Oryzias latipes: one gene and its partners. The protein of the gene in region 5 interacts with the protein of the main gene of each other region in a pairwise test. Links are inferred from orthologs where the notes say so. Each region holds a gene or a part of one and is shown on either strand. Other genes may lie near its edges.

Region 1 (3,500 bases), on a different chromosome or scaffold from region 5:
GTGTAAAATTACTGTTCCTTTTTTGGATACAACTAAAATGAACTTGGTGGTTTAAATGCCATGTGATCAGCCATGTGTCATGGCTTCCTTTGGTTCACAAACGCTTTGTTTGTTCTTGCTTGTTAGTGTGAATACAGTAGTTCAAAATCATGGATTCTGTAAAATTGGCTCTCTGGATGGAGAAGCCTCCTGGACAAGAGGCGAAACGTCTTTCACTTAAAAAAACGAACCCTTTTAACACAACGTCATCATGGATTCAAATCCAGCAGTGGTCCATAGGGCCTCACACGAGACCAAAAATGGAACTCTAGGGTATGAACGCCTCCCGTCGTGTTTTGAGGAGAAAGAATGCATCCCAACAACACTTTACCCACAAACATGAGGGTGGAAACATCATGCATTTGGGCTGTTTTTAATGGTAACGGGACAGGCAACTGTCCCCTTTAAAAATTGGGTCATGCACAATAAGATTTGCGGTAAAAACCTTCTAAAATCAGGGAGGATTAAACATGTCTGCATGTTCCAGCAGGACTATAATTTGAAACACATTGCAAAGGAGAGGCTACGTAAGAAGCATTTCGCTGTTCTGGAGTGGTCTAGCCAGTCTCTGGACCTCAATCTAATAGAGAATATGTGGGAGAAGTTTAAAATGTGTGTTGCCCAGCAACAAGCCCAAAACATCACAGCTCTCGAGAAGATCTGCATGAATGAATGGACCAAAACCGCAGCTACATCAGCTGAAGACCTAAAGGAAATGATTGACTGCTGTCATTGACAGTCAAAGCTACATTACAAAGTACTGCAGTTAAATTTTGTTTTTAGCCAAATCTTTAATTTATGCTCCATTACACAAATCATTTCTTTAGAAATTATACAGTGGACTTTCCTGAGTCTCTCAGATTTGAAGTGTTTCTAAAATGAACATTACATACCAATCTTAGCTTTTTAGGTTGAAAACTTGCAGAATCAGTGATACTAAAGACGCAGGTTGGACTTATATAGGCTGTACATCTCCACACTGCGTTTTAATATGCATAGTTTGTATAAATTAGCTAAAAAATGTTCTATTTTATTTCTATAGTTACAAATTAAAACTACGTTATACTGTGCAAAAGTTGTTTTGCCTGTTTGTTTTTTCCCTTTTAGTTCCCTGAACAAAAGTACTGATCACAGAAAAGAGACCATTGGTAACAGCTACTCACTGCTTTCTTGCCATACTCGCTCTTAGGCACAATGAGAGATCCCAAAATGTAGCAGCCTGGACTTGTTCCTTTAGGAATCCTGAAAAATTTGGATTTATAAATGGTTTATTTCAAGCAATCAAACCAAAAAGACTACAAAAATCAAAAAGAAAAAAAGGTAAAAGACACAGAGAATAAGAAGAATGATAATGTAAATAACAAAGAATAAATCAATTGAAAAAGAGCTTTAGTCGTTCGAATTGTGACGTTTACTTTGTCCTGTCAGGTTTTCTAAACAGAAGTGCTTATGAGCAACATAACAGCGGAAAAACAAGAAACCAAACCCTTTCACTCACTTGTCATCTGGCAGACCAGTGATGTAAAATGGATGTGTGGTACCCGGACACAAAGTGACGGAGTTTGCCTTCTTCTTGCCCATGAGAGCCGCCCGGTGGGTCTCGTAGATATCCAGACTGAGGGTTGTGGATAAACGATGAGAAACCACAAACGGCAGGTCTTTCAGGCGCTCCAGCTCGTTGGACTGTTCGTGACGGACCTGAAGGCGAACGCTGTAGTCCCCCTTCTCAAGCTTCAGCGCATACTTGGGGAGCGACAAAAGTAGGGACACGTTAGAAAAACGCTACCAATTGTCAGTAATACAGTGATCCCTTGCTACAACGCGGTTTACTTTTCACGGTTTCGCTACTTCACGGATTTGCATCATGCATTGTGTTCTGCATTCTGATTGGCTAAGAAGTCACTCCGCTTCTTCTCTACCTGTGCGTCAATAACGCTGCAGTTTAATATGTACACGTACGTAAAACAGCTTGCCAAATTTACAGCACGCACGTGCAAATTATCTTGCAATTTCGAGTTTCTCTAAAACCCATAGAAAAAAGAGCAACAACTGCCTATCACTATGTTCTTCTCCCGAACAAACACAGCTGCACCGAGGGCTTCAAAAGAAGAAAACACTGCAGAGCGGAGTCAGGATGCAGCGGCTAGAGCAGTGAAATACACCTGAGTCGCTATTTGTCCCAATGTACTTTGTATTTTTTTCATAATCATTTTAAATTTTCTCCCGTTTAATTCAATTACTCTCGGGTTGCGGTGGGCGGGGCTAATCTCCGCGATTTGAAGCCTTCTGTTCACATTGATGATTAAAATTATTATTTGACAGTACAGTACAGAGTTATTTGTTGAAAAAAAAAAAAACATTTCTAAAGAACTTTTATTTGTGAAACAAATGCTTGAGCCTGTAAAATGGTTTGTTCTTTCTTTTTAATGTATAATAGATTATTTAATTGTATTAAAATTGAAAAAAAAATAGAGGTTTCTACTTCACGGATTTTGCCTATCACGGGTTCTTTTTGGAACGTAACCCCCGCGAAAAACAAGGGTTTACTGTAGAGCGAGGGAGTGAGTGTACCTGATGCGGGTAGGCGTCTCCTGAACCAAGCAGCCTCTTGTTTTGGTCAAACAGCATCCACAGCTGACTGTCAAATTCAGACTCGTATAGGAGCTCGCACAGCATGGGGCAGCTGGGCGTAACTTCACCGCTCTTAGGCTTAGAGAGCAGTAAAGAAGATTATTTGGAAGCATAATGTCACCAGAACATGCATTTGTTACGCTTTGTGTCAGAAAGTACCTGGTGAAAGTTGTAGGTAAGGACAATCTCATAGAGTTGTCTGTTATTGGGTAGAACATCTCGCATTCCCAAGGCCTTTATCTTTGAACTCAAAGGCCTGAAATGATAGAAACACCAATCAAATAACACTGAAGTTGTGTTTTAACTGTGTGTGTGGATGGGCGATCACTCACCTCAGAGGTTGTACCCATGATTTAAGGGTGATTGAGGGAGAAACCTCCTCATACCGTAGAGGCGAAGACACGTCAAAACTAGCCACTCCCTCTGAAGCGTGCTGAACACATCCACATCAACAATTAACTACAAACCTAAATTGTCTGATGGGGAATTTATTGGGTTAAACTGATGCACGCAAAGTTCTTACGATGTGGAGCGGCAAAGGAGAAACACAGAGGCCATGGAACGAGATGCTGTAGTCCACAGTGACGTCTCCCAGACTAGCCCACCAACGAGCTATGCACAGCTCCACAACCCTACCCGACTGCAAAAAGACAAAAAAACAAGGAAAATTCAGCAACATTTTTTCCTAAAAGCTCTCAAATAGCCAAAGCTCAACTTTAGAGCCAAGTAAAAATCATCAAATATATATTTTTTCCATACCAAAACGGGGAAAGCCTCTGTTAGAGATCCTCTCTCCAACAATGAGGAGAACTTGTAGAATTCGTTCGCTC
Region 2 (4,167 bases), on a different chromosome or scaffold from region 5:
ACTCTGCAGCCTCTCACAGCACTTTGGGAAGAAGACAACTATCAAGAATCCTTTTCACAACAGGGCGGATGAAAAGGTGAATCCGAGGATGAAATGAGCTTCAGCTATTCCGGTGCTCGGGCTGTTTTCCGCTAAACTCAATAAACTTTATTGACGGTGAAGATAAAAGCGTGACAGGGTTGTAGGCATGCCCGTCCACACCCAGTGTGCTTTCTACATCTAAAATAAGATGTTTTTTTTAATGTCTGCTTTGATTCACAACAATTTCAGTAATCAAATACACAGAAAAACAGTTTTAAGCTTAATTTTCTTTAAAACATGTCCATCCGATAAATGTTACAAGAACGTAAAAAAACACAATTTTCATCAGAGTGGATCTTTAACTTTGGGGTTCGTGCCTCCTCTTCCTGTCATTTCGGTTTTAAATCAGTTCAAAACTAAATACAAAGACAGTCTTGGTTATTAAAATGAGGAAACCTCTCAAATAGAAATTGTCGTCCCATTTCTCCTCCGGCAGAAGAGTTTAGGTTTCAAAAATATGTTTACTCTAATATTTTGTCACATAGTTGTTGGTTTTCACAGCTCTTTTCACCGACATGTGAACACCTGAAGGGGTTTGGCTGCAGATGCACACATGCGGAGGCGGCTCACCTTGGTGTACGCCGTCTCCGTCTCTGCGATGGTGCGGTCGAACGTGGCCCGAGCGGCCAGCCTTTGAGCCAGACTCTTCTCCACTCGGCTCAGCTTCTCCGACAGGATCTGGATGTCGTGCTGCAGCCGCTCTTTCTCCTCTTCCTCCAGCTTGATCTGACGGTTCAGCTCCTCCCGTTTGGAGTACAGGTCCTCGATGCCTGAGGGGCAGAAGCACGGGTGGAGTTTCTGTGGGTCTGCTGCTGCTCCCCCCAAAAAAAACACCCTTAAACCTGCACCGCTTCACAGTATCAAAGGATTTACTGTTCGTTTAAACTCTTAATTCAACGTAAGAAAAAAAAAAGATGCAATAAGAATTGTGAATGCTTTACACTAAGGTCTTCGCCGTCAACAATTCTGGATCAATCTTTGATTTGATTTTAGGATATTACAAATATTGATTGCGTTAAAAAACAAAAAAGGAATTTCACAAAACATTTTGTTTAGCACTAGCCAGATTTGTGCATCTCTGAAACACATTTTCCACAAAAGCACACCTATTTTTAAGGGTAAATAAAGACATAAATGTCGGATATAATCGACAAGCTAACTGTCCAACGTGCTGAAGATAAAAGCAGCCATTTACGTTTGCATTAAGTCAGAGAGTTAACCTGGTTAAACTGGGTGAAGGTATAATCTTTGGGATTTAACGAGGTGGTGCAAAACTTTCTGATAAATGAGGGACAAAAAAGAGGAAAACAACAAAACTCGATGGATTATTATGGAAAAATTAATTCAGGAGTCTCCTAATAGGGGAAACATGTCATCAAAACCTGCCACGTTACTTATATATCTGAGAAAAACAAATAATTATAAAAAAATATTCCTACTTTTTTTTTAAAGTCTATTTAGAAAAGGGAAAGTGGGAAAATCGCTCACATTTGACCAGCTCGTTGTTGTAGGTCTGCAGGGCGGCAGCTTGTTGAGTCATGTCCGCTGCTAGCTAGCAAAGTAACGGCCGCTTCTGAACTCTCCCGCCGTCCTAGCGATGCTCGGTGCGGGCGACGAGCTAACGCGCCATCGATGCCTCTGAGCTGAGAGGCGGAAAACGTCCGGACAGATTCAGCCTCCTCCGCTGGTCCAAGGTCCCCTCCTCATTCAGGACAGCGGGGCTGGAGCAATTTCCCGGTCAGATTAGGAGACTTCTTCTGCGGTTAATTTAAATGCACGATGACGGACGGGATAGTGGTGGCGCCCTCGAGTGGAAACGTATTTTTGCTTCGGCTGCTTTGGCTTTTCATTTAACAGGGGTTCAGAAAATCAAACATTTAAAATCTGATACATCGTGCTTTAATTTTATAATGAACCCCCTTACCCAGTTCTATGGATTTCACTAACCTGATTTCAACAATGAACTGTTTTCATTATTAGCTGTTGTTGGAAAATATAATCTGTCGCTTTGAGATTACTTTCCTTTGTTGCATGTCCAATAAAGTCGAGAAGAAGAAAACCACGGGATTCGTCCGGATTAAAGATTAACAAATTTATTCCCTAACAATATTTCTAAAAACATAGTAAAAACAGAATAAAACAGAATAAAACAGATCGATCTGGGTGTCCAAAATCAAGGCCTGCAATACGCAAGAGGTTACATTCCGAATTCACATGCAGCTTGTCTGGAGACACAGGAAAATTCCTTGAGTTCAGACTTTTAAGCATGTGGGCAGAACATCCTCCCCCGGGAGCAAGATGGCCGCCGAATCTCCGCCTCTGGTCGCTAGAGATTGGCTGGCAGGGAGCCTGCCCACTTCTGTCAGTCCATGTTAGGAGTCAGCATCCGTTTTCCCGCGTCTGAAGTCACCTCCCAGACTGACATGGTCCCGCAACCAAATGGCTCCCTAGGTGGCCCCCACGTGTGGCCGGATCTTCTTAACATACAGTAGACAATACACCTTTGTTCCCCACACGGGAGCAGATGCCTGTGGCGGTTCCCAGGGATTGAGATGATTGATTTATGATCCAAGTCAGACCTACAACCAAATGGCCCCAGAAGATCAAAGACCGTTTTCTCCTGAAGGGGTTGGAGGTTGGAGCTGCATTCCTGAAACCTCTTTACATATGCAATTATCAGGAAGTCCCTTTTAATTGAAATGACTGAAACCCACACACAGTAAACCTGAAAGAAAACCTTCAAAGAAATAAAGATAAGATAAAAACCTAGGAGAAATAAGAACCACAAAAATAAATTCCTTCAGTTTCCCTCTCTTGACCTCACGAAGTGAGGTCACACAAAAAATAAAAACACATCATCAAAATATAAAAGTACAGAAAAATAAAACATTCAAAGTCAAACTTAAGTTTAAAAAAGTAAAAATATAAAAGTCAAATTCAAATTTAAAAAGTCAAAATATAAAAGTAAAAAGGTAAAAAATACAACAAAGATAACACTTCCTATAAAGAAAAGAAAACACCTAGAATTAAGGGGGGGAATTGAGAAATGTTAAAGCAGAACAAAATCACACAGACGATGAAAAGAGAAAAGAAAATTGTCAAACATAACAGTAAGCAATTTTATAAAATGTAACAAAGTCCAAAAAAGGTCATTCCGGGCCTCGAACACTCGCGTCCTCCTTCTGCATGTCCCACAAGCTCTGGCAAGCTTGGACCTGGCCTCCTATGGACTTCTCAATAAGCCTGTTAGAGATCTGACACATCTGATACAACAGAACGGCTGCAAAAGGACTTGGGGTGTCCACTGCTGTGGTACTGTTCTGCCAAGATGATTCTGCTGTGGGTCTAAGTTTTTGTTAGTGTTAGGGTCAGGAAATTAAAAAATAAAAAACAATAAAACACAAAAGACAATGAGACAAGAATCAATTTACGCATGCGCAGTAAGAGAAAATATGATGGAAAAGGTCCACCACATTTCTCTTCTCAAAGGTCTGCTTCCCCTCGTGCTGTTTTATGAAGAACACAAGTGGGGAAAATACAAATTCAAGAAAAAAGAAAAAAGTTTATTATGGGCTGTTGTGTAATGACCCAGTCGTAGAACCTACTCATCCTTGCTGTGGATGAGAGAAAATCAGATGAACAGACACACAAAGCTTTAAAATTTTTAAAAATGGTCAATCTGTGTTACTATTTAAACATTCTTTCTAAATGGTCAATCTCTTTCTAGACAAATACATTTAAACGATAATAAAATAATGTCCTTCTTTTAATCATTAAGACCTCTTTTGTCTACCTCCCTCTCTTGGCCTGGGGCTAAGCTCCAGGACAAACACATAAAACGAATTAAATGTAAAGCAAGAACATAAAAACAATAAACTGTTTGGTGCATCGATAAGGTGAACAGGCGTCCTGTCCACGTTCCTGTAAAAGGCAAGGTCACAAGAAGAAATAATACAACTGCAACAGAAGATCTTTCATTAATTGCAGGCAGATGTCATCCACCTGTATTAGCAAAACACAAACCTCTTATAGCATAATGTTCTGTCAGAGAGACTTTAAACAGTGATCAAAAATGCAAGAAGGATT
Region 3 (3,500 bases), on a different chromosome or scaffold from region 5:
TAAAACAGCTACACAACAAAAACCATGGACAAAAACGCACACTTAAACCCCAATCTGCCCAGATATGACGTCATGGTGCATTGACACCAAAGTTACACCAACTTAATTCAATTAAGTTGATTGAAAGTAAAATAACTACATCAGACAACTACGTGTTATTTTTAAGTTGAATGAACTAAAAAAAAAAAGATTCATTTTTCACCAAACCAAATAATTAAGTTAGAACAATGGAAAAAAGTTCATCTTTCCAACTACAGCCTAAATACTCTTTTTAGATTGTGCAGCAAAATGTTGTAAACAGCTGCCTAACAATATTATTGACGCACTCCTTTCTTTGCAATGCCTAAATAATACTAATAAAATACTTTTCTCTATATTTATGAATTTAAAAAAAGGAATAAACTTTTAAATACATGTTTAAAATTTTAATCTTACTAGAAGTATACAATTAGACAATATCTTTTGTCGTAAAAAAGGAGCCTTTCCTTCTGCCCGCTTCTTTCATTAATTTGAACACACACAGACAGCCAAACAGCATGGATGTCACTTCTGCTTCCAGCCCTCTCACTCATGGTTTTCACACCAAGATTCCCCCTTCCCATGAGTCTTAGGGGCTGAAGGCGGGACTAACCCCCAGGATGCTACAATATTTAGAAAAATAAAAATTTGAGAGCATGCGGGGCAAGGAATTGTTTAATCCACCTGAAACAAGAGAGATAAGAAATCCAGGACGCAATACTTAAATCTATATATTACACCTTAATTATCCTTTTAAGTTTAATTTACTTAATTTAAACATATTTTATTTTAAATTAAAAATTATTAGTTACATATACTCAAAACAGGGGATGTGTTAAACAAACTTTATATGATTGAGTTAGAAGAGCTTTTTTGAAAACTTTGAGTATTAGCTACTCATTATATTTAATTACTTTGAACGTTCGGGTTTACAGTGTTGATGTGGTTGCTTTGCTCTGTCTGACCTCTAGGTGGCGCTCCAAACTACTATCCAAACAGCTTCAGTGCCCCAGAGACCCAGCCTCAGTTTGTGGAGTCCAAGTTCCAAGTGTCTCCTGATGTGGCGCGGTACAACAGCGCAGATGAAGACAATGTGACTCAGGTGATGAAGAGTCCGGCCTCTGCAGAGCCTTTTCCCTTCAGTCTCTCCACGACATGAATGAAACCTGAATTTAGATTTTCATTTACAACTGATTTATGATACAGATTTTGAACTAAAGTTTCCATGAAACAATGAGAGTGAAACAGCAGAACCTAGATCTTCAGATTGCAGTGACGGTGGTTGATCTGTGTGCTGCAGGTTTGTACCTTCTTCACCAAAGTGCTGAATGAGGACGAGCGCCAAAGGCTTTGCCAGAACATGGCGGGGTCCCTGAAAGAAGCCCAGCTCTTCATCCAGAAACGCATGGTGAGTTCAGGCTCCATCAACTCTGTTAAACTGTGAAAAGAAAAAACTGAAAAAAGTTAAGCAGCCATTTTAGCAGCTGCATTTGTTCACTGGGGGGGTTGTGGTTAAATGTTCCAGCAACTCTGTTTTTGTGGTTGAAGGTTTACTGTCGGGTTTGAAAAAAAAAAGAGGGTCTGTGACACACAATGAAACTGATGTGGCTGCATGAACACCAAAGTATTGAAACAAGAGTTTTAAAACCATTTAAACTTTATCCTAAAGGAAAGTAAAAAATAAATTTCTGCCTAAAATGTGTTGAAGCATAAGTGTGGTTAAAATAAGAAAAACGAAGGAAGTTTGACCAAAATTATCAGTACGTTTACTTTTTAATTCTCCTTCTGGGTCTGCTGCTGTTCAGCTGCTGCAGCTCTACATGGGGATCTGCATCACCGCTGAGCTGTGGTGGAGCGGTCCCCGCCTGAGATGCTGCTTCTGGCTGGTTATGCAGCGATTCACTGAGAGAGAGGTTCCAAATATGAGCCTTTCCAAGAACAAACCTCTGGTTTCACGCTCAGACTATTTATCATTGTCTATCCCCATCAGTTATGGGGTGGGAAAGGGGTGGGTGGTTGTAGGTCTGGGAGGGGGCTCTATTTTATTTTTTGTGCTAGTTTTTAATTATGTTAATTTAGTTTTGTTTTAATGTACAGGAATTGGTGTTATACTCTGATAGGAAAAGTTATGAATTAAGTTTGATCTGATTTGAAAATGAAAACACTTGAGCTCACAAGAACATATTTGTTCTCTCCTCTAACTGCTTAAATTTATTCATGCTTCGTGTTCAAGTCAGACCTTTCCAAATACGCACTCACTAAATTACGAGTCCTTTTTCTTTTACTGTATTTTTCAGAAGCTGTAGCAGCCAAAAGATGAATAAAAACAAATTGTGTACAAGTGGTGTCTGAGTATGAGTCGCACTTCCAGCCACTATGCAAAAACTAAAACATGATTTATTCTCTGAACAATCTGGTAACCGCTTCTGCTGGAGGATCAAAGCTCAGTGTTTCATTTCAGAAGAAATCATGAACTTCCTGTCTGTGAACCACTTAGTCTCTTGGAAGACGTGCAGCCTGCTTTCAGGCAGCAGGGCTGTGGACTTCAACAAGCTCGCTCCTGATCAGCGAGAGTGGTTGCCATAAACGCAGACTTGGACCCATCACCGCTTACCGACATCCTCGGGCTCCAACATGGCGGTGTCCGCATCCCTAAAAAATGCAGACTGAATTGTCTTCATTTGTTTGAAGCTGGAAGTGAAGCGTTTTCTACGGGTGACGTCACTAACTCAGTCCAGGTCTCATGAACAGTCCGTGATTCCAGCCTTACCTGTTATTTTCAAGGGTAGAACATAAAGAAACGTTGTGCCCCGGGTTTTCTTACACCAGTTTTTTAGACTTGAATTTGTAGACCTGAGTCTGTAGACCCTGCTTTTATTTTCAGTGTTTCTAAAATGTTAACGTTATGGTTTTGATCAAAAAGACAAACGGTTCATAAAATAAATGAGCAGCAACAAAAATGAAAGAACCACAGAAGCTTTTATTCTTCACTGTTCTCCGTCTACATTTCCCATCTATTTATTTTTTGTTTTTGTGTGTTTCTCTTGCAGGTGGAGAACTTGAAGGCCGTCCATCCTGACTATGGAAACCGTGTTCAGACCCTCCTGGATAAATACAATGCACAGGCAAAAAAGGTACTTTTTTATTTTCTCTAATAATAATGGAAAAGGATAAATATCCCGTGGCTGTTCTGCATTCATTGCTGAATTTTTTGTTGTGCAAAAATGATTTATCCTGCTGCATTTTGAACATGTGATCTGTTTATCTCAGAGCGCCAGTGTGCACGTCTACAACCGTCCAGGAGCTTCCGCCATCGCTGCTTCCTCCAAAATGTGAAGCTGCACCTCCTCTTCCTCTAACCTCAGAGGAACTCAGAATCACCAACTTCCTGATGGAACGAGATTTGAATGAACCTGCTAACAGCTACGGCTAATCACGTGTGTCTTTGCTAGCAGTTGATTGTCTGTGCAGCTCAATGCTGT
Region 4 (4,300 bases), on a different chromosome or scaffold from region 5:
TTTATGAGAGATTTAAAACTCTTACATAAAGAATTATTTACATACAACTCTCGAGAGAGAACTGTTTCACCCCACAAGCAGAAGCTTTTATTTCAGCGGGTTAATAAAACAAAACAAAAATGGACATTTAAAAGTTAGGTCTGCTGATCAGAAATGCAAGAATCTGCTAATTCAGAAGGAAATGAAGCATGTTTTGTTTGAAACTTGATTAAAAAGCTGAAACGTTTCCATGTATAAAGTGGAAATGTGTTGATGAAAATAAAGACCATTTAAAACTTAAAGCCACGAATGAATTGAAGGAAGAGGAGATGGCATTTAGCATAAAAGAATTGGTGTAACTGAGAGCGAGGAAGAGGAAGTGGTACAAGAGGAAGAAAAGTAGTTGCTGCTTGTGTCTCGCAGACAGTGACATGTTTAAATGGCCTCTGGGTTATTTAACTTGTATGGGCAGCTATGTTTCTGGAGCAAAAAAAGTTTAAATAAACTGTGAAACTAATGAATGGAAGACAAGTAAGGTAAAAGCAAAGAACCCTAAGCCTATAAAACCCAAAGTCAGGAAAGTTACACCCTTTGCAGTAAACCACAGAGAGGAAATAAGAGCATGTGTGACTTTATTTGTCTCTCTCTGAGTTTAATCGATTAAGGTGAATGTATAGTAGCGTATGGGTTGGGTCTGACAGTGGTTATTTTCACTCAATAGGTCATTTATGACTAAAAGTAGATGCAAGTCAGCCTTAGTGTCCTCTTATGTGGACCTTTTTTCTTCATTTGTAGGGGAAAGAGGAAGTAGCAAGAGCTCTGAGAAGTTAACAAGAATCCAGACTAATGCCATACATGGTCAATTGGTATTAGTGAGATTGAGTTTTTACCATTGCTTAGTGGGAAAAGTGGTTATTGTCCATCCTCTGACAGGGCACTTTTACAGTCCATAGTGTCTTTTGTGAGTCATGTGTTTGGCTTGGAGGGTCTCTGACTCCATCTGAGGTGGCATTCTGCTTTCCAGAGTGTGCAGCAACATCCACATTGTAATTGTCCTCAAATTGCATCAAACATATCTTGCATTTCCAGACTGAAATCTTGAGAGACAGGTTTTAAGAGGAAAAGTATTCACAGGGAGGAGCAGCCTGTGCTCTGCTGTTTGAATGATCAGATAAGCAGGGGGACTTGCTCGAAAGCTTTATACAGGTTCATATTTTATATATATTTGAAACTTTGTAAACTCTATATGTATTAATATTTGTTCAAGAAACATTATATCCTTAGATTAGGCCTCACATCAATCCCTATCCTTTTATTTTCCCCCAGCCCGTTACTGTTATCGCCTCCCTCTTTCTACGCTCAGTGCACCACAGCGTGCACCCGACGTGCCCCAGTGAGTGACGCTGGACCAATCACATGCCGCGATTCCGAAAGTTTACCTTTTATGGAAAGAGCCGGGCAACGGACGGACTATAAATACCACGTGCCCACGGCTAGCAAATTCACTCTGAGCGCCGTCACACACAGCTTGTGCGGGATATCATTCGCCTGAAACCGATTCCCTTGAAACGAAAAGCCCCCCACCCAAAGGTAAGATAGAGACGATATTTGGTTTAATTCAAATGTTTTGGAAACCTTACGATTGTTTAATTGTGCAGTTTAATTCTTAATTGGAGGTGACCATTAGCAGAATTTTGTGGCCACTAAATTTATTTTTAGGCCTGAAATGGTTAAACTTTTAATTATCTTTTTAAAATTGACAATTTTGTTTGTTTTGGCATCAATCAAGTTGTACCAAAATTAGCCACTTAAACGCACAGGTGCCAATTGATTGTAACCGGCAAATGGCTTTTCAGTTTGGTTTTAATTGTATATTTTATATAAGCAACTAAATAAAAATTACTATTCGTATCTTACATGGTGGGGGGAATTTTTCGAGTCCTTCTACGGACGTTACCCGTCCGAGTTGAGGGTGTCTGGATCCTGGCGGGTCCCTTTGTGCGCCGTTACGGGGTGTGACCTACTTTAGCATATTAGCCTAGCTTCATGCTAACACGCCCTTCTAGACTTGACTCTGATTCCTCACATGTAGGGGGGTGGGACTGTTATACATTTGTTTGTATAAAATGTAATAACCCTTAAAGCATTTTAAAAGTATTCGATTAAATTGAGCATGTAACTGTAGTTTGACGGCGAAGAAAAGGGCAAATGACAAATCATTCATTCAAGAAAAGGCGTGGCTTTCAGGAAATGATTAATCAGTCATGGGCTCGCACACGTTTTAATTTCCTTCTAAAGCTTGACGGGTCGTGGTGCTTTATGCCAGCAACGACTTCGCACAAATTATGACGCAGTGATTAAGAAATTTTTCAGTCTTGTGCAACAATGGGAGGGAACGCTGACAAAGTAGAGCTGTAATGAACCAGTGGGAGTAGGCTTTCGTCGCCGGGTCCGATAGTCTAAAGTCCCTCCCCTCTTGCTGTACTTTGGCCGCGTGCCTTGCCGGTAGCCGCAAAGCTGCTCAAAACCGAACTATGTCCTTATATGGTAACAAGAGAATGCAGCACCACTTCCTTTTGTCTGGGCTCGGAATGTAGCGCTCTACCTCCACCAAGCGGACACTTTGGGGAACTGCCGCTCCCTGACAGGAAATGGGACATCTGACTGCAAAGCAGATGCAGATGGGCGTGTCTTTGGTGTTAACGCCTTATTTGTTTGTTTTCCAGTTTAGCCATGGATGATGACATTGCCGCACTGGTTGTTGACAACGGATCTGGCATGTGCAAAGCCGGATTCGCTGGAGACGATGCCCCTCGTGCTGTCTTTCCCTCCATCGTTGGTCGCCCCAGGCACCAGGTTAGTTCCTAACTGTTTACCTTTATAATTTTTTACTATTTAATTTTAAAAGTTTCCAGATTTACTAAATGTAAATTTAAACTTTTTTTCAGGGTGTCATGGTGGGTATGGGCCAGAAAGACAGCTACGTAGGTGATGAAGCCCAGAGCAAGAGGGGTATCCTGACCCTGAAGTATCCCATTGAGCACGGTATTGTTACCAACTGGGATGACATGGAGAAGATCTGGCACCACACCTTCTACAATGAGCTGAGAATTGCCCCTGAGGAGCACCCTGTCCTGCTCACTGAAGCCCCCCTGAACCCCAAAGCCAACAGGGAGAAGATGACCCAGGTACCCGTTTACCTCACAGTGGAGCACATGTATACTCTTTTCACCTTGGTTTCCTTCTGTTCATACTTCCTCCATCCTCCTCTTCTAGGATTTCTTCCTATAAGATGAGCTTTCATCAAAAGGTCTATTGACAGTTTGCCTTGTATCTGCACTTGTGTTTTGAGGCTTAGAGTAACAGATCAGCACCTAAAAATGACATGCACAAGTGTGAAGGAATGTTTACCATGTACTAACTATAGATCGAGCCCCACTTTAATGCATGTAGCGAGTGGAGTGGTCGCATTGCTGCTTTGTAACATGCTAACATTGTGCTTTTTGTCTCTGCAGATCATGTTTGAGACCTTCAACAGCCCTGCCATGTACGTTGCCATCCAGGCTGTGCTGTCCCTGTATGCCTCTGGTCGTACCACTGGTATCGTCATGGACTCTGGTGATGGTGTGACCCACACAGTGCCCATCTACGAGGGCTACGCTCTGCCCCACGCCATCCTGCGTCTGGACTTGGCCGGCCGCGACCTTACAGACTACCTCATGAAGATCCTGACGGAGCGTGGCTACTCCTTCACCACCACAGCCGAGAGGGAAATTGTCCGTGACATCAAGGAGAAGCTGTGCTACGTCGCCCTGGACTTCGAGCAGGAGATGGGCACCGCTGCCTCCTCTTCCTCCCTGGAGAAGAGCTATGAGCTGCCTGACGGACAGGTCATCACCATTGGCAATGAGAGGTTCCGTTGCCCAGAGGCCCTCTTCCAGCCTTCCTTCCTTGGTAGGTACCTCAACCAAAGACTTGTGTACAGACCCCAGAGTGCCCCATGCTAATATTTAATCTCCTTCCAGGTATGGAGTCCTGCGGTATCCATGAGACCACCTACAACAGCATCATGAAGTGTGATGTTGATATCCGTAAGGATCTGTACGCCAACACTGTGCTGTCTGGAGGTACCACCATGTACCCTGGAATCGCAGACAGAATGCAGAAGGAGATCACAGCCCTGGCCCCATCCACCATGAAGATCAAGGTGAGCTTTCTGAAGAGTCTCCCGTCTGGATTGTTCCTTTGGGGAAAAGGGGCTCATTCTCAACTCTCCTCCTCTCCCTACAGATCATTGCCCCACCAGAGCGTAAATACTCTG
Region 5 (4,156 bases):
CAAAAAAAAATAAAACCTAGAATGTTTTGAAAAAACAGCAGCTCAGCACTGGCATCTGAAGCATAGACTGACTTTAGAGTGTGCAATTCGGTAGTGGCATCCAAGCGCCAACTCCAAGCCGCCGCCCAGAGCGACCCCCTCGATGGCCGCCACCACCGGTTTAGCTGCTGATTCCACGCCCTGGATCAGTGGGATCAACGGAGGACCGGTCAAAGGTGAGCTGAACTCCCTGATGTCCGCCCCTTAAATGCACAATCGAGAAGTATTAAGACACTACCGTGTGAAAAAAATACTACTTTTACAAAAGAAAGTAAATATCAACATAGAAAATTGTGCAACTTGTTATTGTGACTGACACTTAGTTGGCGTTTTTTCTAACAGTTAATTGAGTCATTGATCTCAAGTTGCCTTATATAGACATCCATTTTTTTGGGTGTTGGATTCATTTATTTCATTGCAGCTGTTTGCAAATAACATTTCATTGTAAAATACTGAAAATGATGTATAGTATAATTGCACATATACAATTAGAACTACAAAAAGAAATTTCATTGTAAAAGTGTAGGTTGAAGCCACAGCTACTCTAATTACCTGTAAATTTCAACAAAAAATCTTTAGAATTTGTTGAACAAATGTTAACATTAGGAACAGAATCTGAAAATACTGAAATATGATATGGAATTACATCTCTTGAGATCATCTCTGTAAAACTATTCCACAGGATTATTTTTTAAAGCGTTCTGTTTTTTTAAACAAATCCAAATCCCGGAGATTCTCTTGTTTCAAACAAACACAATATGTTTTTGGCAATAATTTATTTTAACGTTACTACATTACCGATGCAGTTTGTAGACATCTGTAAACATTAGAGCTTTAGATATAATAATTAAAAAAACAGTTTAGTAGATTGATCATTTGTTGAATGGTTGACCATCCATATGGCTTTTTCTGTGATATAAAAATTGGTTTTGTTTATTTTCGCCAAATTCCAATACATTTTTTAGCATACATTAGTATGAGAGAAGAGCATGAAAGAGTTTTAATATTTAAAAACCCAGATTCATGTAGTAAAGTACTTGCTTTTGATTTTTAAAATGGGTTATGTGAGATTTCTCAGACTCTTGCTATTAGTTGTTAATCAGTTTATTCAATAAGATTACAATTCATTCATTAAGAATATGTTTCATCTTTAATACATCATTTTTGTATGTTTTTCTTTTACTCCAATTCCAATTTAGACCAATAACTGAAATGTTTTTTTTAATCCACTGTGTGCTTCCAGCATCAGGACAGTTCTAAAAAAAACAGCATTAATAAAATAATAAAATAAAAAGGACATAAAGGCTTAATCATCAGACGTTTTAATATTTTAAAGGCTTGAATCATTTCAGTTGTGTCACCACTGTTAAGGTACAGGTACACACCTCCACAAAATTTGCCATTGTGACCACAGATGACCACGGATTTCACCTTTCGGTCGCTCAGGGCCTTGTCCATCGTGTCCACAATACCTTGCCTTACTGCTGCACTGCAATTAAAAAGAGGATATTATGTTTATCAATTTGAACTTTACCCACCATAACCTGATGGGGCCTGATTGTAATGAGTCTAAGTAAGGACCAATGGAACCAGCAGTGGAATTACGAATGAGATTTGCAAAAATGAAATGATATATTATTGATTTTAATTTATTAATTTATTTATTTTTTACATCTGACATGAAAATAAATAAAAACAAGTTAACCTTTACTCAAGCATAATCAGAAATACTTTATTGATCCCACACGTGGGAAATTTGTTTGTCACCATAGCAACTGACAGCAGAGGGGAAAAAAGACTTAGAATGAAATAAGAAAAAAACAAGAACAAAGAAAATGTAGCATAACGTGCATTTTTCAAAGAAGGTGCTTCTGTAAATATGGTTGCCTTGAACTACCTTTTGCGTTGAGTAGTTTTAGTTCTGAATATAACAGCTTGTGTGCTATTTCTGGGCGAAAACCCTTTGCTTTTAGGCAGACAGCCATCAGTAAATGATTAATTGCAGTGTTTTGCTGTGATGCATTATCTCTCAGGCTGTTGGTAGATACAGTCCATCAGGTTCGTCTGATAGGCTGGTCTGATATGCCAGGAGAAGTGCAATGTAGAAACCAATACAGGTCAGGGTGAAGGCAGGCAAAAACTTATTTTTCTAATAATAAACAACATTTTAAGAAAAAAGCTTACAGTGGAAGCAAAAAACTTAACTTCAGGACTGTCTGCAGCAAATAAAACTGTCATGAAATTTGATTTTTTTTTTTTATTATTGCTAAATAACACCTGACAATATATCTACACAAATCTAGACAGAAGATAACCAAACAGAAAAACATCTGCTTCAATGGCCTCTGTCCTACTTACCTCTACCGCCCCCTTGTGGTTTTAGGAAGAACAAAGTAAACATCTAAAAGTTTAACTCAAACTTTAAATCAGTAAGTTTATATTTTACTTCAAACGATGTGCTTATAAAATAACAATGTACAATTTATACATGAAATACTAATCAAAAAATCCATAGCTAACAGACAGCTATCAATTAGTAAAAGTGTTGTCGCATTGTTGTTTTGTGATCTTACCTGAGTGCATTAACAGGAGGATTTAGGAGCGTAATCAGGCCAACAGTCCCCGAAACACGACTGTACTGAGCCATGATGTTATACTAATGATTAAAACTGATAACTAGTCGCACTTCACCGTAAACGAAGTAAGTGGACTTTGAAACAAATCCGTTAGTGCTACATCGCTTTTCATTTATTTTTGTCCCTCCGTGAATACCGTACAAATATACTTCTTCGTGCAGAAAATTTGAGAATTTAAAGGCGGCAAACAATTAGAGTCATAGCGCCCCCTCGCGGACTGGATCTGAACACAAACATTATTTTGAACGGCATTATAACATTTTTTTATAAGAGTAAAAAAATAAAATAAACGTAAAATGCATGATATTAAGGTCTTTTGACTAACACCTGACCTAAATTAAAGAAGGAGGGGGCGGAGATGCGACGTCACCGCAGAGGTTAGCCGTTGTTGTTCTCCGGGAACAGCTGGGAGAAGTATTTTTCTGCAGAACTGAGGACTACTTTCATCATCATGCGGTCACTTTTCGGGTTAATTGCTGTTGTTACGGCAGCCACGTTGTATCTGTATTCGTTGTCGCAGTATCTCCCGGCCGGACCTGCGAGAAGTCCCCAGCTGGACAGTGAAGGTGAACATGAAGCGAAGGAGCCCCGTTACTCCTCTCCGGAGCCCAGCAGGTGACCCGCGTTAGCCGCTAGCTGTAAAATTACAGTTGTGTTCGGAATTATGGGGTGTAATATCGTGTATTTGGCACAATTCCGGTGTTATAAGTACGAACAGCTTTTAATTACAACACCATATGTATAGATTACGTTATTTGTTTCCTGCTTTGTTTGGAGTCTTTTGGATGTGTATTTTTATTTATGTGGAGCAAACAAACTAAAATACTGTCTGCTGGTTTTAATCGTGAAAAAAAATCATCGCAAAGCTTACAATGAAAAAAATGCATATTTAAAACACTAAAGGGTATTTGATGGAATAATTTCAATATTCTTAAGGGGTTCTGGAGGATTTTGAGCCAGTATTTTCTTTGTGAAATCTGTAGATATATATAGTATTTCGATTTCTGTCTATTTTTAATCTTAGTTAATTGTTTCATTTTGTTTATGAAGATTTTTTGTCTCCCAGTCTTTAAATGCCTCTTAAGGTTTTGTTTTGTGTTTGTCCTGAACCCTAATGTTTCAGATAATCAAAAGTAGTTTTAAAAAATAGGTTTAAAAATAGACATGGACTGTACCAGGTAATCACAAAAAGTTTAATTTATAATCAACTATTGTAATTTAAATTGACATGGCCTTAAGGGGGGGTAATAGGGGATTTCAGACCACAAATCAGTAGGACTTGGCTGACTAAACCTTGGAACAGGTTAATTAAAAAGCTCAAACAATGTTCAAATATTTAAGAAAAAAGAAAATGTATCAAGAAACTCTGATTTCACCATATCAAGATAAGAGGAGTTAAAGGTCTACAGGTGTTTGAATAATTCCAAATACATGTGTGAACTTGAATGTGGTGAAATAATCAAAGCTATATTAATTACAAC
Region 6 (4,045 bases), on a different chromosome or scaffold from region 5:
GTGTGAGTGTTATCTGAACAGCTTCAAGGAAAACCAAAGTATATTTCCATTTCCCAGAAGGACTTTGACGTGCTTTCTGGGTAATGGAAAATACAACAGATTTACAGATTTAAGTAGGTGAAAGCTTTTAGACATTTAGTCTGTCCAAGGAATGTTTTAATCCAATAAAGGTATGGATTAAAACTCAAACACTTTGGACCTATTTCTGTTTAAATCCAACTTTAACACCCTCAGATTATGATGCTGAAAGTCGATTTACCCCTCATTGCCACAGTGAGAAGAGAGCTGACAGATGGTAAAACACATGCAATGTTGTGATTTTTTTTTTTTTTCGAGGAGTGACTAATTCTGTGTAGAAATAGGGAATCTGGATTGTAATTAGCGGCTGGTCAGCCAACATTCAGTGCCCAGACTTTTCTGTTTGTCAGTTCACACTGAGGCTGAGGGATAAGGTGCAGCACAGAGCCGATGATGTCCACCAGACTGATGAGGACTCACTGCATGCTCCACATTGAGCTAATTTATAGCTGCAGTAAAAGCTTTGACCTGTTTGGAAGTGAAAGGCTCAGAACTGGAACTTCTGATAAGGAGAGAAACACAAGGATGTGGAACTGGAGGTCGGACAGAAGACAGCTCATAAAGACGAGATCCAGATTGCAGCATTTTTTACTTTTAATGTAAGAACTTGTCTGCTCGTCTGTCTGCGTCATCTTTTTTTTCCTATTTACTTTTCTATTCAGGATCAGCTGCAAAAACACAACAATACAGTAAGAAGGACCCCTGTGTTGTTTCTGAATTCTGTAACCAAAGAGACAAGGTATTGCTGCATCACAGCTGTGTGTTCTAAAGAAGCAAAAATGAGCCCAAATATTGACAGAACTGCAGCAAAAAGCTTCAATGCTTCTTAAATGGAGACTTCCTTCATTCGTTGATGATTTTTGTGATCCTCTAATGTCTAAAAGGGTACAAAACAGACAAGCTGCTAATAATTTATTGGTTTTATTTAAATATGAATGAGAGAATATGATCGTTTTCTAGTCACTTCTGTCAATAACAGTACTGGTGTTGATGGAATCTCTCATCAAAATGTTTCCTTTTTCTGGATTTTGCAGAAAAAACTTGCATAAAAGCTGTTTTATGTTTAATTATTTCCTTCCTCTGTTGCAGTGAAACTCATTAAGAGGTTTTTGCATTATGGCAGCTAAAGCTCTAAATAAGATGTGCAGTCTTGGAGGCATCATTGTAGAACAGATCAAAACCTTGGTGCCAAACTGAGCTGTGCTTCAGATGACAAGCAGCTCTGCATTGTTCGGCTCCTCTAATGCACCCATGGGGCCAACTCAGCCCCACAAACAAGAGCCAGCAACAGAGGAGCTTGGAAAAGAGTGTCGCGTTAAGGAGGCGGTGGCTCACAGCACAGAGGACCAGCAAAACTGTGAGGGCTTAACTATTTCTTTAAAATTAAGAATAAACAGGAAAAAGCCGGACGATGCCTGAAACCTTATTAAAACGGATTTCTCTGAAAACAGGAGGAAAGGACAAATGAGGAAAGGAGGGGAAGAAGAAAAGAGCAGACCGTAGGAGAAAAAAAGACAGCTGGATGCAGGTGTGAGCGTGCAAATCAAATGTTCACTTCTCCACCATGATAATGATGACGGGGTCAGCAAGAGTGGAACATGGCAAAATCATTAACATTCTAGAGTTCGGGGTGATGTGCAAAAGAAGGAGAGAAAATGCTAAAATGATTCAAAGCTGAAGTCAGATCCTGCAGAGAAGGAAGAGTTGCAGGCTTAGAGATCAAAGCGGACTGTCACTGAGAGGCATAAATACAAAACGACAGAAATAATGAACAACAAAAACAGGAGAGAAATCAGGAATCTTTTCATGTATCCAAACACACAATTTTAGTTTGCTGGTAGGGATTCTCTCAAGAAATAACTTTTTGAAAATCTAGAATAATGTGACATGAAATTTGAATTGGCCCTCTGGTCATAACTTTATTCAGGTCATCTGCAGAAGCTGATCTAGTTTCTCTTTTGTTTTGTCTTCTATTAAGGCCGGACTAGAAGATCTCAGGGGGAGACAAACGATCTGCGGGTATTGATGAGCTGACCTATATTAAAGATTGCGCCAAAAGTGGATCAGTGAACCATCTAACTGACTGATGAATAGATTTTTGTTGTTGTTTTAAGGAATCTGTTTCGAAGTTTATAAACTGAATACAGCTCAGGCGGTTTGGTGGAGGATGCAGACAGAGTGGAGAGTTCAGGCGCCAGCCTCATCCCGGACACCCACCAAAGTGTCAAATAACCAGCAGACCTCCTGCCAAGTCTCCACTCCTCGCTCTTGTCTGTGCGTAAGTGCGCACGGCGCGCACCGCTCCCTGGATCCTGCGCATCCAACCCCCCCATGCAGCCTGATACTTACATCCAGAATGACCGAGATGCCTCTCCGTGGCTCCGGGGCAAAGAACTGCTCCTGGGCCACGGCCACCTCCTCTTTGCTGGAGGCGTACTCCCGGCTGGAGATGTTCTTGTTGTCGCTCATTTTGGTGACGATCCAGCGGACGAGCCCGTCGATTCCACCGGGCTGGGCGCCGCTGTTTCCGGACTGCGCTGCCGTCGCGGACTCGCTGTCCTGACCGGCTGAAGGCTTGGGCTGCTCGCGGCTCTCCTGCGCGCGGAGTTTGGCTTGTTCTTTGTTGAGCAGTTTGTGGACTCCGTCCCTACAGTAACGCGCTGCCTGCTCGCACATCCTTTTGCTGCGGAGCGCTCATGCTGCGCTCTATGGGGGAGAGAGAGGAGCTCCCCACCCACCCCACTTCCCTCCTTACATCACACACCCACCCCAAAACACACCCACCCCACATTCCCTGCAAACCCACTCAGGAGACAGAAAACCTTGTGGAAGCTTCAACTTCTCACTTTCCATGCGCGTTTTTTTTGCAGATCATGCGTTATGTGGCTGATTTCAAATGCACGTCAGAACTTTTTTTTTCCTTTTCAAAAAATATTTTGTGGGTGTTTCATCCCGCAAACAGTTTCTGTCCTTTGGCTGTATTCCAGGGGGAGGATTTCTGCATCCCTGAAGGAGCATCAGAGAGTTTTTCCTCACGCAGCTCCTCTCATTAGAGGGTGTCCTGCATGAGTGATGTGACAGATTTAACCTTTAGTAATGACTGACTCCACCAGGTCTGCCCTTTTCCAGAGTTAACGGAACAAAAAGAAGATCAGGACAAATGAGGTCCTGCAGGAAAGTTGACAGAATGACAAAACAGCTGTGGAGGATGATGTGTCTTTCCTCCATCAGACAAGCAGCAGAACTCTGATCAGATTACTTGACATTACTGCCCCCTTGTGGAAATGAGAGTGCATCGACAGGAAGGACTTTGTAGAATTTATTAAGTCATTTAGAAAATGTTTATGCTTTAAAGTATTGCAGCTTCGTCATTCTAATTAAATTCATATATAACAGTTACTAAATAATAAAAACGGATCAGCTGCTTCCTGTTGTGGTTATTTATGATCACTGGGATCCTTTCAGGTAAAAGACCCATGAGCAAGGCTTGCTGTGTCCCTCGCAGCGCTCGCTGGAAACGGTCAGCTTTCCGAACCAGGCCTCCCTTCCAGGCTCTCCATCAGGAGCTTCAAAGGAAACCTGGATGTTGTGAATCTTTTTTGGTTTGATGTTGTCTGGTCCTTTGACAGTAAAGCAGGGGTTGTCCACCTAAAGCAGCAGAACATCCAGTCAGTTTCAGGTTACTACATTTACAGGCATATTCATTTGGGAATCCAGCAACTCAAGCAGCATAACAATAGAAAAGTTAGATGTAAAGTGGGGTTGGAGCACTTTGTAAGTCACTGTGCTAAATATAAATGAGCTGGGTGCTGCTGCAGCCCTTATGAATAATTTAAAAAAATCTTCTATTGAAAGTAAACAGGTCATAGTTCTTAATATGAAGACTTCCTTTTACAAGGTCTGCCTGTTCTTTACCTGAGCAGTGAATGTAATGCTTTGCAGGAACACGTTCTTGAAGGGGATTGTG
Region 7 (4,286 bases), on a different chromosome or scaffold from region 5:
AGATGTCCTCAGGAAGTTCAGGATGTACCTGAAAAGTGTCCCATCTCGATCAATGAAATAATTTCCCTGAGCGTCCCGAGCTGTAGGGAAATCCCCCCGAAACATGGCTCCCAGCATGGAGTCTGGATAACGCTGCAGGGTGGATAGACTGGTGGTATATAAGTGGCCTCCCACATTCAAGGTAACAGGAGTGGTCATCTAGAGAGGATAGCAGAGTTTGTTTTGTTAGCTCACACACTGGAGTGTTGTATAAGCAAACGTTTTATTAGAAATTATTTCCATCTGAGAGGAACTAATGTTTGCTCAACTACTTTTTGGCACACAAACTGAAAGAATAGTTTCATTCAATTGATAATCTTATAAACACTCACAGCTTGGTAAAAAGTACACAGTTTAAGATGCATCTAAAACCATGAACAATGTTGAAATTAACACCAAATGATATCTTTCACAAACTATGCAAGTTTCTGACTTGACTTTCAATAAATGTAAAGTATTGAAAGTCCAGAAAGTCAGCTTCATTTATCATTGTGGTGTTTGTTGTCAGTGTGGAACAACAACCTAGGTTACCCCACCACAAGAACAAATGAAGGTGAATGAGAAACAGCCAAATTAGTATTGATGTAAGGTCTTCTGCAGAGTTGCTTCGGCGTTGCAGCATAAATGGTTATAAGGGGAATATAAGGAATTGGCATTAAATAACTCATTCCTAGCATTTGTTTACTTCCATCGGTATGTCTCTGACCAATATGAATATCTTTAAAATGTGCCACTGCTGCTGAAAATGAAAAAGAACTACACAACTACATATCTGATCAGTTGGTGAGGATGTAAATGTTTAAATCTGATGCCCAACAGAGGAAATGAGAAATCAATACAAAGAGAAGTTCTGTAGAGTTTGCTGAGACTGGTTCTTCTGTGACGCGGTTCTGGTTAAACAAATGAACTGAAAGGCAAAATGATTATGACTTTCAACTATGTCTTACCCTATGGCCCCAGTCTCCATTATCCATTTGTAGAATTTCTACCAGGTTGAAACCAAAGTAGGGAGAGAACTTGATCAGGACAGACTCCCTTTATTTGGACCAGTAAAACAAGCACAAGAAAAATAATTACATTAATACGAGGCACTAAGAAAACTTGTCAGCAGAATGGGAGAGAAGTTTGCATTAAAACTCAAGTAATGCTTTCTGTAGCAATAACTACTTACATAATCAGACAATATTAAAGTTCCACTCCTATCATCTCTTGATCTTTTTTTAAAGCATTCTTAGTGTTTTTTTATTATTATTATTATGCTGCTTTTAGCCTAAATAAAAAAGAAAATTCAAATAAAAACCTGTGTCATTTTGGAAAAGGTTTTTTGAGCCAGATGCCAGCTGAGACGAGGAAAACAAGACGTAAATGGGTCTATGGTCTGCAAGTGGATGCATCAGAATGGAGCGGAGCAGGGAGCTTATGGCCGGCCGATTGTGTTTTCTTTGTCACAAATATGATCTTTTTCAAAATGCGTTTTTTTTCTGCTCCTGATTCCCCAAAATTTGATTAAAGAAATACTCAGAAATGCAATTTTAAGCTTAATTTTCTTTAAATATCCCCTTCATCATCAGAAAGATGCCAAAAGGACATGTTAAAGGTGCATTTTTCATTGGAGTGGGTCTTTAATAATGTCCCAGTGAGCTTGATTTTGCTTAATGTGTTTGTGTGTGTGTGTGTGGGGGGGGGGGGGGGGGGGTGTTAAAGCTTTAAAAACAAAAATAAATATACAAAACCCAAGTAATATTTTACTGCATTAGTTTATTATACGTATTAATAACAACAAATACTGATGTAAAACATGCCAGATTTAGTCTAGGGATCATTAGGCCAGAATGAAAAAAATTGCAAAAGACAAGATAAGCAAGAAACAGGAAAACCATTAACCTAATCCTAATCGGACAAAACTACAGTAAAAAGAAGAGAAGTGTCGTGTTACAGTTAGGATAAAGGTTCCCATATGTTTTGGTCATTTCTAAATAAAATGGATAGAATCCTCCAAAATCAAAGCATTAAATATATGACTAAAGTGACAGAGAGTTAACTATTTGTTTTCTGAAAAACAAAAGCCAATCTTGACTCCTGGTTATTTGGCATTATCGAAGTGACTGTGTAATTGACTGCAGCGCAGGCATAAATAAATGAGAGAAGCCGGCAGAAGAAATAACACAAGCTTTTAGTTAGAGGTAATAGTGTGCTTCTCTGTAAGCTTACATTAAGTACAATTCTGAAGAAAAAAAGTGAAATAAACCGTGAATACTAACGTTGAGACATCAAACATACGTGTAAGTGTGAAAGCTAGCAGCTAGGTTTTTCTTTTAACTAGCATGCTAGCAGCTAGCAATCCAAGAACGTTAGCTGCGGTCTCTACTGAGGTTCATGATGGTTTACAAATCAACCAACCAGGTAGACAATAAAGCAAAGACTCACCAGCTTTAGCGCCTTTTTTTTTCCTTCCTGAATGGCTCCTAAGAAAGACTCCCCCGCTGTTCTCCAGTAACGGTGGATCAAATGACCACTGATAGGATCCTTGCCTGCGGTCTGTCTCACCGGGCAGCTGCACTCTGCTTCAGGCTGCAGCGGAACTGCGCACACTGACGGGGGGAGAAAGCAGGAGGGAGGAGGTCCTGCTGCAGCTACAGCCTCCTCTGCTTCATCCACGCATCCATGGACAGGGCACTTCACAGATTCACAGGCCTACCAAGCATGGGATCAGGAGCGCAAGGATTCCTCCTCCAAGTCCAACCCATGCGCTTTACGCGTCAAAATGACCAAACAAAGCGGGGAAACACCTCAATACATTATGGTGGCACAATAAAGGACTGATGATTTTTCTATGTAAATTTAAACATTGACCAAAAAAATAAAAAACGGCGAATGCCTAAATAAATGAAAATATAAAATAAAATGTAAAATAAAAATGTAGACATGGGCTATTACAGATTCAAAGCAGATATCTTTTGAATTGTCAGCATAAAAGCAGATTGATCAAGTTTTGGTAAACAAAAGACCACACATCATATCTAATCCAACTTTATTAGTCAAATTGGAGACACAAAACAAATAAATCATTTTTCATATTTTTCTCTACTTCTGTGCTTCTTCCTCACATAGGCTACATATTTGATCTGTTCCCTTAATCTTCTATTCAGGACGATTTCTTGGTACCACCTCTGGCATTCTGCTGCAAGATAATGAACTCCAGGATGAGTCTGGCTGTCCGACAAGGCTTCTCCATAACCACGGAGTGACCACAGTTATCCAGCAGGTCTACCCTGCAGCCAGGCAACAGCTCTGCAATAACGCTTGCCCCGGAGACATCCACCACCTGGACCAAAAGGCAATCTCTTTTGGCATTTCATTACAAATAAAGTCAACTGTTGTCTTAAACTGACATTTCTATGTTACATATTGGTACACCTTAATGAATATATAATGAGTAATATATAAATAAATCATCACAACACTCACCTAAATTGAACCAAACAAAGTTATTATTGGAACATGATATTTACCTGATCTTGTTTACCCCAAATCACTTGTAGAGGGGCATTTATGAGATGCAGGTGCTCTTGCAAAGCATATCTTGAGTTCTCACTAACAATCTCCATAAATACTGCAGAAATGAAAAAAAGTTTTTATTTTCATGTTATTTTAGTAAAAAAGTAATAATTATTTTTTTTACAACAAATCCCACCTTCTTCATAAAACGTGTTGTGAGGCAGTCTGACGTCTACCAATCCTTGAAGAATCTAAACAATAAAAAAATAAGGTTAAAGTATCCATTAAATGTAGCAAACATTTTTGTGATTTTATTTCCCCGTAGATTGTCCATTTTTGGTGTCTATAGTACACAAAGGGAAACTTGTGTTACAGGTGTGGACTTGACCTGTTGAGGAATTCTAAAACGAACGTGGGAGCAGAGTCTGAACATGTCCTCCATCTCCTCCGGTGTGGTCGGGATCAGTGGGATGCTCAGTGAGTAATTGCTGTGCTCCAGGTCCTGTAAGTGATTGTCAAACTTGGTCTCACACGGATGTCTAATTCCTGCAGCAGAGAAACTATTGTAAACTGATGTTTGAACATTTTTTTTCCTCAAGAAATTAACCTGGAAGCTGTTTGGTAGAAAAGAAAAAAAAAAGTACAAATAAATACAACTGTAAATCTCAAAAGAATAATGGATTAGGAATGAAATTATGGTCTCAATAAAATATTATGCCTTGCAAGGGGCACTGACAATTTCTAAGATT

What was found.
Region 1: the proteins of ehhadh (region 5) and tpp2 interact in binary tests that used the Homo sapiens proteins (3 or more experiments, as listed by UniProt). The two-hybrid records come from large-scale screens. The link is inferred for Oryzias latipes from reciprocal best matches to the Homo sapiens genes EHHADH and TPP2.
Region 2: the proteins of ehhadh (region 5) and ssna1 interact in binary tests that used the Homo sapiens proteins (3 or more experiments, as listed by UniProt). The two-hybrid records come from large-scale screens. The link is inferred for Oryzias latipes from reciprocal best matches to the Homo sapiens genes EHHADH and SSNA1.
Region 3: the proteins of ehhadh (region 5) and cat interact in a two-hybrid assay, tested with the Homo sapiens proteins (2 studies listed by BioGRID, with this or other methods). The link is inferred for Oryzias latipes from reciprocal best matches to the Homo sapiens genes EHHADH and CAT.
Region 4: the proteins of ehhadh (region 5) and actb interact in binary tests that used the Homo sapiens proteins (3 or more experiments, as listed by UniProt). The two-hybrid records come from large-scale screens. The link is inferred for Oryzias latipes from reciprocal best matches to the Homo sapiens genes EHHADH and ACTB.
Region 6: the proteins of ehhadh (region 5) and necab2 interact in binary tests that used the Homo sapiens proteins (3 or more experiments, as listed by UniProt). The two-hybrid records come from large-scale screens. The link is inferred for Oryzias latipes from reciprocal best matches to the Homo sapiens genes EHHADH and NECAB2.
Region 7: the proteins of ehhadh (region 5) and kctd6 interact in binary tests that used the Homo sapiens proteins (3 or more experiments, as listed by UniProt). The two-hybrid records come from large-scale screens. The link is inferred for Oryzias latipes from reciprocal best matches to the Homo sapiens genes EHHADH and KCTD6.

Annotation. Positions count from the first base shown.
Region 1 is NC_019861.2:16,578,795-16,582,294, reverse strand, and holds part of tpp2 (tripeptidyl-peptidase 2), read right to left. Parts: coding exon 3,430-3,500; intron 3,311-3,429; coding exon 3,194-3,310; intron 3,104-3,193; coding exon 3,003-3,103; intron 2,927-3,002; coding exon 2,830-2,926; intron 2,749-2,829; coding exon 2,611-2,748; intron 1,783-2,610; coding exon 1,538-1,782; intron 1,282-1,537; coding exon 1,203-1,281; intron 1-1,202. UniProt on the Homo sapiens protein: Cytosolic tripeptidyl-peptidase that releases N-terminal tripeptides from polypeptides and is a component of the proteolytic cascade acting downstream of the 26S proteasome in the ubiquitin-proteasome pathway.
Region 2 is NC_019870.2:25,855,134-25,859,300, forward strand, and holds the start of ssna1 (Sjoegren syndrome nuclear autoantigen 1), read right to left. Parts: upstream 2,801-4,167; 5' UTR 1,622-2,800; coding exon 1,570-1,621; intron 852-1,569; coding exon 652-851; intron 1-651. UniProt on the Homo sapiens protein: Microtubule-binding protein which stabilizes dynamic microtubules by slowing growth and shrinkage at both plus and minus ends and serves as a sensor of microtubule damage, protecting microtubules from the microtubule-severing enzyme SPAST.
Region 3 is NC_019864.2:9,052,832-9,056,331, reverse strand, and holds part of cat (catalase), read left to right. Parts: intron 1-989; coding exon 990-1,120; intron 1,121-1,318; coding exon 1,319-1,426; intron 1,427-3,068; coding exon 3,069-3,152; intron 3,153-3,288; coding exon 3,289-3,354; 3' UTR 3,355-3,500. UniProt on the Homo sapiens protein: Catalyzes the degradation of hydrogen peroxide (H(2)O(2)) generated by peroxisomal oxidases to water and oxygen, thereby protecting cells from the toxic effects of hydrogen peroxide.
Region 4 is NC_019866.2:19,166,576-19,170,875, forward strand, and holds the start of actb (actin, cytoplasmic 1), read left to right. Parts: upstream 1-1,500; 5' UTR 1,501-1,569; intron 1,570-2,705; 5' UTR 2,706-2,712; coding exon 2,713-2,835; intron 2,836-2,927; coding exon 2,928-3,167; intron 3,168-3,494; coding exon 3,495-3,933; intron 3,934-4,004; coding exon 4,005-4,186; intron 4,187-4,269; coding exon 4,270-4,300. UniProt on the Homo sapiens protein: Actin is a highly conserved protein that polymerizes to produce filaments that form cross-linked networks in the cytoplasm of cells.
Region 5 is NC_019879.2:20,086,573-20,090,728, forward strand, and holds the start of ehhadh (peroxisomal bifunctional enzyme), read right to left. Parts: upstream 2,801-4,156; 5' UTR 2,687-2,800; coding exon 2,613-2,686; intron 1,529-2,612; coding exon 1,425-1,528; intron 243-1,424; coding exon 73-242; intron 1-72. Other genes in the region: tmem41a (transmembrane protein 41A), read left to right, coding at 3,127-3,290. UniProt on the Homo sapiens protein: Peroxisomal trifunctional enzyme possessing 2-enoyl-CoA hydratase, 3-hydroxyacyl-CoA dehydrogenase, and delta 3, delta 2-enoyl-CoA isomerase activities. Catalyzes two of the four reactions of the long chain fatty acids peroxisomal beta-oxidation pathway.
Region 6 is NC_019864.2:24,684,458-24,688,502, forward strand, and holds the start of necab2 (N-terminal EF-hand calcium-binding protein 2), read right to left. Parts: upstream 2,801-4,045; 5' UTR 2,755-2,800; coding exon 2,428-2,754; intron 1-2,427. Other genes in the region: hydin (hydrocephalus-inducing protein homolog), read right to left, coding at 3,526-3,726, 3,994-4,045. UniProt on the Homo sapiens protein: May act as a signaling scaffold protein that senses intracellular calcium.
Region 7 is NC_019865.2:16,433,576-16,437,861, reverse strand, and holds the start of kctd6 (BTB/POZ domain-containing protein KCTD6), read right to left. Parts: upstream 2,801-4,286; 5' UTR 2,467-2,800; intron 1,075-2,466; 5' UTR 1,014-1,074; coding exon 987-1,013; intron 199-986; coding exon 1-198. Other genes in the region: monoacylglycerol lipase ABHD6-like, read right to left, coding at 3,185-3,364, 3,552-3,652, 3,734-3,788, 3,926-4,083. UniProt on the Homo sapiens protein: Probable substrate-specific adapter of a BCR (BTB-CUL3-RBX1) E3 ubiquitin-protein ligase complex mediating the ubiquitination and subsequent proteasomal degradation of target proteins.